Linked DNA regions of Drosophila melanogaster. The protein of the gene in region 1 interacts with the protein of each later gene in a pairwise test. Each region holds a gene or a part of one and is shown in the gene's direction. Other genes may lie near its edges.

What was found. The genes of interacting proteins can lie anywhere in the genome.
Region 2: the proteins of knon (region 1) and Cpr62Bc interact in a two-hybrid assay, tested with the Drosophila melanogaster proteins (one large-scale study listed by BioGRID).

Annotation. Positions count from the first base shown.
Region 1 is NT_033778.4:16,496,379-16,501,103, reverse strand, and holds knon (knotted onions), read left to right. Parts: upstream 1-1,674; 5' UTR 1,675-1,754; coding exon 1,755-1,918; intron 1,919-2,084; coding exon 2,085-4,125; 3' UTR 4,126-4,215; downstream 4,216-4,725.
Region 2 is NT_037436.4:1,839,758-1,844,024, reverse strand, and holds Cpr62Bc (cuticular protein 62Bc), read left to right. Parts: upstream 1-1,940; 5' UTR 1,941-2,020; coding exon 2,021-2,035; intron 2,036-2,132; coding exon 2,133-2,264; intron 2,265-2,837; coding exon 2,838-3,233; 3' UTR 3,234-3,744; downstream 3,745-4,267.

The DNA of each region.
Region 1 (4,725 bases):
CGGTCCGTGGGAATTTTGATGAGTTTCATTAAGTTTTGAAATAAATTTGAGCCGAAAAGTGGGTGAGTGTTACTATGACCACTGGGCTTATGGCCATTATTTTGAGCTTAATTTATGTGATTACCTTTTTTTTGCCAGCTTAAATAGATTAAAGGTATTTTAAAAACAAAAAAAAACAGTTTTAAGCATATTAAAGTTACTTAATACGATATTTTATAGAATAAATCCGTTGCCTTATTTATTTAGTGTCTGTATAAATAATGTATAATATAATGTATAAATATCATTTTTTTTCAGCTGTTCAAACATATTTATTTATTCTCATTGAGTTTTTAAATGTATATTTTGGTGCTTGTATTTATTTTCTTTACTTTATCCCATCCAGGCCAGCCCACATAGAATCCTTGGCCCAGCTTGCACAGGTATGTCCTTTTCCACACACACTTACATAGATGCGATTGTGTACATGTACACTCTCAAACAATCACATACACGATGAATTTTATTTATATTTCATAGGAACATAGGATTTCAGATAACATGAACTTTAGAGATCTAAAGTTAGGTAACTTACTTGATATTGTTAATCTGCCAGTTCTGCGAAAATGTTTTTAAACCATTTATTCTATTGTTTAGTTGTTGGTTAGGATGAATGAAAAAATGTAAACACACTTTTGTATGGTACACACAAACACGCGAAAAGGAACATGAACACAGATGAAGTTAAGTTGACTGTGGGCTTATTTGTGTTTATAGATGGGTGCCAACGTAATCACAACCATTGTTCACTATTTGGATTCATAAATCTTAAGTTTCACTCGAGTTTTAATTATTTTAAATGCGAAAACACAGAAAAATAGGCATACAAATTTACAGACGCTCGAATTTTGCTGTCAAACGGAGCAGACAATCTCTTGCTCTCTCTCTCGCCGTTCCTCTTTCCATGCGTTTCGTCCTGCGAGAGCGAGGCAGCTGTTCGAGTCCTGTAGGGAAAGGTCCTTGTTGGTGGTGAGAGGACATTCGCAACTGTCAAAATGACAGCGAAACATTCACAGAGCGCAGGCGCATGTTTCGTTTCGTTCCAAAACGTTTAAAGGAGCATATCCTGCGATTCCAGCAGGGGTTGCAATTCGCACACCCTCTCTCGCACCATGATTCTCTAGAGAAAGAGAGTGAGAGGGAGAGAGAGAGAGAGCAGACGACAATTACCTGAAGAATTGGCATTAGCCCATTTTCGTTGCGTTATAAATTGCGTTTGTCACTTTGGAGCATTCGCAGACTCGAGAGGTCCCAAACACATACGCATATCCTGGGTGTGATTTTACATTTCCACCCACTCCACCCACTTGGCAATGCCACCCCAAAAATACCCCATCTCCATGCAATTACATTTAACTTTCCTTGAGCAGTCTGCTGGGTTGGAATTAATTTTCGATTTTATTGTCAGTTAGTCAAACCCACTTGCTTAGCTGTCGCTGCGCCTGACTCTGATTTAATTGAAACTGCATGAATATGCAATTTCGGGCTATAAATTGAAATCTCGATTTCTCCGCCCACCCCGTTTTTTTTTATAGCCTTTTGGAATTTTCACTTTTAATGGCTCTCAGTTGGCTCCTTAGGAGTTTTCAACACACACACACACACTACGCACTCACATATTTGTACAAGTTATAGAACAGACTGGAGGCCAATGTGAACACACCTGAACATACACATATATAAATCCATAAAAATACTGCTAAAGAATCCGAAGGATGTGGGAAAAGCTGGTGAACTGCATCAAGAGCAATGGTGGCAATGGTGGCGTCAAGAATGTAAGCTGCCAAGTTGTCGAACTGGCGGATCTGATGAAACAGGTGCCGCCGAACCAGATGCACAAGTTCAAAATGTTTGCCAAGAAGCACGAGGAGTACAAGGAGTAAGATGGGGTCACCAAAAACAGGGAATTGGGGTCACCTGGGGGAGCATGAATTAAGTCTACCTTAGAAGGGCAGGGTCTTTACTAATTATTTAGGTTACAGCTTATGTTGCTTTATATGAGAATTATTTCCCATTGTAGAGAATAATATAAATATATTTTATAGCCGCGTTCGTAAGTATCCGGAATCGATGCCGACAATCGACTGGGAATACTACCGTCAGAATGTGAGAGAAGAGTTTGTCGATTGGGTGAAGGGATACGAGACCAAGTATGATAAATTGCATTCCGTATTCGAGAATCGACATGCCATAGTAGATCACAAGCGATACTTTGAACTCGTCGATGAAGAAAAGAAGGTGGTGACAAAATGTATTAGCGAATACAAGGCGGAGTCGGATAAAAGAATCCAGGAGCTAACCGAAAAGTTGGAGTTCGTGAAGGCAATGCGACCCTATTCCGAAATGACCATGGAGGAATTTTGTTTTGCCCGTCCGCACTTGGCACCCGATTTCATCAACAAGCCCACTTTCTGGCCACACACTCCTGAAGAGCAAATGCCAGGTCCATCGGATCCAGAGGCAGCAGCTGCTTTGCATCACGAAGAGGAGCCCGAACCGCCAAAGAAACCAGCTCCCGAAAAGTTACCAGATAAGCCTAGTGGAGAAGGAAAGCCTCCGGCGGCTGCGGCTCCAAAGGAGCCAAAAGAACCCGTTGTCGACACCTCTCAGTTGGCCGAAAAGGCCACTTTAATCGCCAAAGATTTGATGGCCAAAGCTATTGTTCTTTTTAATAGTCTTAAAGAAAAGATGTCGGGTCTGGCCAAGAATGTTCAGAAAAAGGCAGACGCCGCCAAAGCTGCGCGTTCCGAAACTGCCAGCAAATCCGCAACGCCTACAGCCGCACCAACCAAGTCACTGGACAGCATTACGGAACGAGAGTCTGGACCGAACATCTGCAACCAAACTATAATACGCAGCGAGGAGGCAGAGGCCAATCCGGAGGTTAAGGCCAGGCATACTAACCTTTCCATTGAGGCGGATCCTTGCGATGCCCAGGAGGAGCGAGCCAGGGAGATAGCTAGGACATTGGAGCGCAAGAGACAATTAAAAGAGGCGGAGGAATGGGAGAAACACAAGACCAAGAAAGATCCTTGTGACGCCGAAAAGGAAACTGATCCTTGCAAGCTCATGGAAGAGGAAACCGTTTGCAAGCCAGATCCTTGCAAAGCGAAAGAGGAAGAAGCAGTCTGTAAGCCAGATCCCTGCCAGCAGAAGGAGAAAGAAGATGACATTTGCAAGCCCGATCCTTGTAAGCCGAAGGACGAAGAGGGCTCCTGTGAAGATGAGGAGGATCCTTGCAAGAAGAAGCCGAAATGCGATGGTGATTACCAATTCGGTGGTGACAATGAAGGCGGTTCGACAAAATCGAAGCAGCAGGACCAGGTCTTCATCAACATATCCGAGTGCAGTAAGGAACTCGCCAAGCAGGAAGAAAAGAAATCTGGTGATTCGGGTAAGCCCAAGGAAAAGGCATCACTGTCAGAAATTCCACAAGGATCAGATCAAAAACCCGTGCTTGGCATGCAGATAACAGAATCCAAGGACTCTAAAAAGGATCACAAAGCTAGTATTGAAGGCGCAAATGAAATTGGTCCTGTGTATACAGATCCCAATCAACTTGCAGAGCTGCTAGTCCAGAAAAAGGAAAAACCAGTTATAATTGAAGAAGCACAGAAGCCCGAAGATGACAAACCAATTACCATATATCCCAAGCTAGAGATATCAGCCAATCCGAAGGGCGATCAAGTCAAGCAAGAAGCTGAAGGACAAAAGTCACCCAAGGATATGGCCAAGCAGGTGTTCACAATGGCCTCAGGAGCTGCTACTCTACTAACAGAAGCCACCAACACACTGGAGGACTTGAAGAGGAAGAAGGAGGCTCGTCTGGAGGCACTGGAACAGGCCTACACTTCGGCCCAAAGGCAGGCCCAAGGAGCTCTGGCCGAGGCATCGAAGGCCGTGGAAGCCGCCAACAATTTGGCCATAAGATCTGCCGAACAAACTGGCGAAGTGAGCAGCCGAGATCGCGAGGCATTGGAAATGGCCGAAAAGCATGCCATTTTGGCCAAAATGCTGGCCGGACGTGCAGTGGCCTTGAAGGACGAAATCGCTCGAGTTCTCAAGGATCTTAAGAAGAAAAAGTAATCAGCACAAACACTATTTCGTAATAATTTTCTACCAATTTGTGTTAGTTGTTTTTCGTATTAAATTTTATGTTACATTTGTTTACCGTTCAAAGTTTCGCTTTCATTTGATTTCGAATCTCGTTACGTTTGTTTTCATGCAAATTTTTTTCCAGGCCAGCTTTGCTGACCAAAAAGTTGGTTGGTGGGCATGGGCAATAAATTTATTCTTTTCCACTAGCTTCGCTTTGCTGTTACGGCTAAAAAGTTTTCTATTTGGATTTTGCAAGCGAAATGAGTGTGAGGCGTTTGTAGATTGCATAATTATGCTAATTTTGTTGTTTATCCACCCGCCAAGTGTAAAGGGGTATAGTGTGCGGATATGAAAAGGTGAGTTTACAGAATTATCAAACCTGTTTTTACATCTCTGTATGTGTTTACTAAAAAGTGCATTTGTATTGATTGTTTTACAATAATTGAAGGTGAGTTTATCCTACCTTATCACAATCTTACCTGTAAAAAAAGCAGGGTATAACCAAGTCAAACTAGTCCACTTTTTAGTTTCTCCATTTTGTTTGGCATTTCAAAGCAGCCGTTCGAAAAGTGTTGCCTACATTTTGGC
Region 2 (4,267 bases), on another chromosome or scaffold:
CCCTACCTCTTCCCAAATATGGCTCAATCTTCCATCAAAAGGCAATCAATTACAGCATTTTTGCTCGAACCCAATCGAAACCTAGTTTTTCAAAGTCTCGACTGCAAAAATTCAATTAATTGGCCACGACGGTGCGTCATTTTCCGCAAACAAAGGACGCAATCAGATCGTGCTCTAATTCAGGCAAACTCAAAGATGCAGTTTGAATATTTAGAGGGGTATATCATAAAGGGGGGATGGGAAACTTTAAAGAAATATAATTAAATTCTAAGGAAGCTCATTGTCTACTTACTTACCAACTAACCATTCCCAACTGCCCATTCTACGAAAATCAACATGTGTAAAGTAATCTGGACTAACTTTCGGATAAGTAAACCCTCTTTTTTAACTACGCCCCTGCTGAGATTAAAACTGTTAGTGATCCGTTACACGTCGTTTGCTGCTGTGTCGTGCTAACCTTGAGATGATTACTTCAATTTGTAGTACGCGATGGCCAGCCTGGCATAAATGGTGGCTCAGAGGGGGGGGGGGGGGGGGGGGCACCAAAGGGGGAATGTCAGAGCCGAGCTACTAATTCGAGACAATTTATTAAATGAGTCGAAGCAGGGCAAGTACGTAGCATAAGCCTGGCGCAAATATGCCGTAAAACAAAGCAAGGCAGCCCTCAAAAATATGACAAAACCAAACGCTTTTGCTTTTTTACTGTTCGTAGTTTTGGCCTGGTAATGAGTTGGGGCTGAACTGGCGTCTATTTTGGCCATAATGATGTGGCGCCACGCTGCGCCCCACTTCAAAGGCGTTTCTACAGCGTCTTCGGGTGGTGGCCTCCCCATAGCACACCCCTCTTGTCTTTCCCAGATGGGTTTAATAAGCAAAACGGCCTACATGGCAATTAAAAAAGTGTCAGTAGGAACAACAGTCAGTGCACTGGAAAACAATTGAAGAACAAAGCCACTTGCTGACTTTAGTTAAAAGTATTGCAAAAATATCTCAAGATTTATGGGATTTCATGAGTCAGTAGCTCGTTTTAGTGGAATGATACCACTGATGTTTTACTAAGACTTCGAAATTAATCTACAATACCTCAAACCATTTTTGGCAGTGTACTATCACATTAACCAAAAGATTTGACAGACGACGCCCGCTGCAAGCAAAATAAGGCACAGAAAACGTAGAACATAGAAAACTTCGACTTGAAGCCCACGAAACAGACGAGCGAACAAATTGCAACATGCAACAGAAAAAAACCATGGGGATTTTCAGGAGGGGGCTGCAACACCGCCGCCCACCGAAATGCAATTTTAACTTATTTCAGCCATTGTCTTTTTATTTCATAAATATTTGTGTTTACGGCTAATTTTATTCGTGCGCGAAGATTGTTTTTGCTAGGTAGTTTAGAGCTTGCAAAGGCCATTTCAATTAAATCGTGATGGGAGATGGTAATATATAGATAGCCAACTTTTTTCCGATCATGATTTCATAATTAATACGCCTTAATAATGGCCAATTTGATATGTTAATACGAGTATTGATTTCAGCAGATAGAACTCGCATTAAGTGAGGTTTTCCCTTCCATTTCACAATTATTTCGACTTCGATTTGCATACATCGCCGGTTATCTCAGAAATCAGACAATTTCCAAAGACAAACCACAGCCAGCCAACAGTCGCTCCACATCTGAACTGAACTTCACTCTCGTTTTTTTTCGCTGAAAAGCATTAAATAATTGTGAATTGTTGGTGGGGAAGGGGGGGCGTTGCAGGGGCGTTGTGGGGGCCTCAACTTCTTGGGCTTCGCTCCGCAAAGCTCGGCTTTGGCTGGTATTTCATTGTAGTTTTGTTTTTGCCCCTGCTGACCGACTGGCATTCGGCTTTTTGTGACTCGGCTCGGTTTGGGCCGCTCGGGCGTTGTCTTGTATATAAAAGCGGCTTCCTTCTTGGTTCTAGTTATCAGTTGAATCCAGCTCAACGTACAGCACACACTCGCGTCTGCAAGAAACAAAATCCCAAAAATCCAAACAATGGCATTCTTCAAAGTGAGTGAACAGGACAGCCCTGTGACAGCCAAAAGTGCCCTGTGATCCAATCGAAATAGCAAACTAATAAAACAAACCCCTATCCCCTGTGATCTAGTCCCTCATCTGCCTGGCCGTCCTGAGCGCCGCCTCCGCCGGAGTCCTCCACGGACATGGTGCTGGTCTCTACGCCGCCGCCCCGGCCATCTATGCCGGCCATGGTCACCACGACGAGGGAATCGATTACCATGTAAGTGGGCAAGATAACCCAAAAAGGATTAACTTTCAAAGTAGCGCATATGAGGATTACTAACTCTTAAAGAAAATCAATGTCCTACTATTGGAATCCATTTGACTTGTTTAAAACATACATTTTGAAAAGCTTCCTCTTAATTGAAAATGTGCATCATGAGTTTATTGCTCTTTTAAAATCAAACGACTACAATACCATCCAGAGCTAAGAAATGCATGCATCTTGACTCATAAAAATTACTTATACGACACGTAATCCCTCCCGCAAACATTACTCATACGACCTGTAAGCCCGAAAAAGTTATACAGCCTACCGGCTGTTCATGCAATCATAAAATTATACTTAATATGCCCTAAAACTGACACCATCAGTCCGCACAACCTCTCACCCACTCCTCTGTGGATGCTGGTGGCCCAGGGTCACTGTGGCATTTGCCATTTAGCCATTTTCCCACGCTAGCTTCATTAGCATGGCCAGCTGCTTCGAGTGGCGTGTGGCATGCACATAAAATTAGCACCCAATCCTAGCAGGCCCGTACTCTTCTCATGGAATCTTTACGCCAATCCGCAGGCCTACCCCAAGTACCACTACAACTACGGAGTGGCTGACTCTCACACCGGAGACGTGAAGTCGCAGCACGAAGTGCGTGATGGTGATGTCGTCAAGGGATCCTACTCTCTGGTGGAGCCCGATGGTTCGGTGCGCACCGTGGAGTACACCGCCGATGACCACAATGGCTTCAACGCCGTCGTCCACAAGACCGGCCCCACTGTGCACCACGCCGCTCCCGCTGTGGTTGCCCACGCCGCTCCCGCCGTGGTCCATGCCGCTCCGGCCTATGCCCCAGCCATTGCCCACCATGTGGCCGCCGCTCCCGCCGTGCCCTACGCCGGATCCCTGGCGCATCAGGTGCCCGCCTACGGATACGCCACCCACAACGCTCACGCGCATGTGGCCCACTACTAAGGAAGTGGAGCAGTCCGCTGGATGCACCACCTGAAGCACCACCTGCACCGCTAACACCACTCTTCTGTAATTTATTAAGCACGTTGACGACCTCACAAAACGGCTGATCGATCCACTGACGAAGCCTGCTAAAATACTCAGTACCACAGTCATGTCCATCATGTCCTGCCGTGGATTCCCCGGACTTTCCCGGCAGCCTCTGTCTCCCTCACACACACACACACACATTGCCGTCTCTGTCTCAGCTTTCGCGCAATTCTCTCTTTTGTTTGTTAATCAACCTTCTCTTTAATTGTAAATAATGAAAACATCGAGTGAGGAACAAACGCCCATCCTGCCACACGCCCACGAAGAAGAACCAACCTGAAAAGATGAAGAAAAACGAACAAAATGTAAAAAAAAATAATAAAAAAAAACACATGTATTATAATAATTTTGTGTATACTATAAGTTTGAAGCTGAAACGGCTGACAATGCTATAAATACAAAATGTAGAGAATTATAAAAATTCAAATATTTCGTTTTTTTACTGCACAGAAAGGAACTGAAAACATAGATTGATCTTTAATTTGATTATTCTGTTTTATCTTACAATTAATTAGTTGATTGGCATTTCTGATCAGAACACATTCACTTTCAAATTGATTCCAAGTATGGGTAATTATGGTTTCCATTAGTTATGAATGTTATGGAAATTGATGGGTAGAGAGCACTTCGTCGAGATCACGCCACTTGATTGACAATAATCGATCTGGCTAATTTGTGGGCGTGGAGTGAAAAAGGTGAAGGTAATCATCGGCGGTTGATTATCATTTGATCCGCCAATAACCAGTTGGTGTTTATTAACTGATTATTTATCTGCAGAAGAACTATGCCATCTGTACTCTGGCAAGACGTGCGCTTTCATAATAAGATTCGCATCAGCATTCATATGAAACTTGAAGCTTAAATATAAAACTATATATAGCCTTATGTATCTGGAATTTGCATTCATAGAGTTTTCTTAATTTCCGATTTAAGGATATTTCACCAGA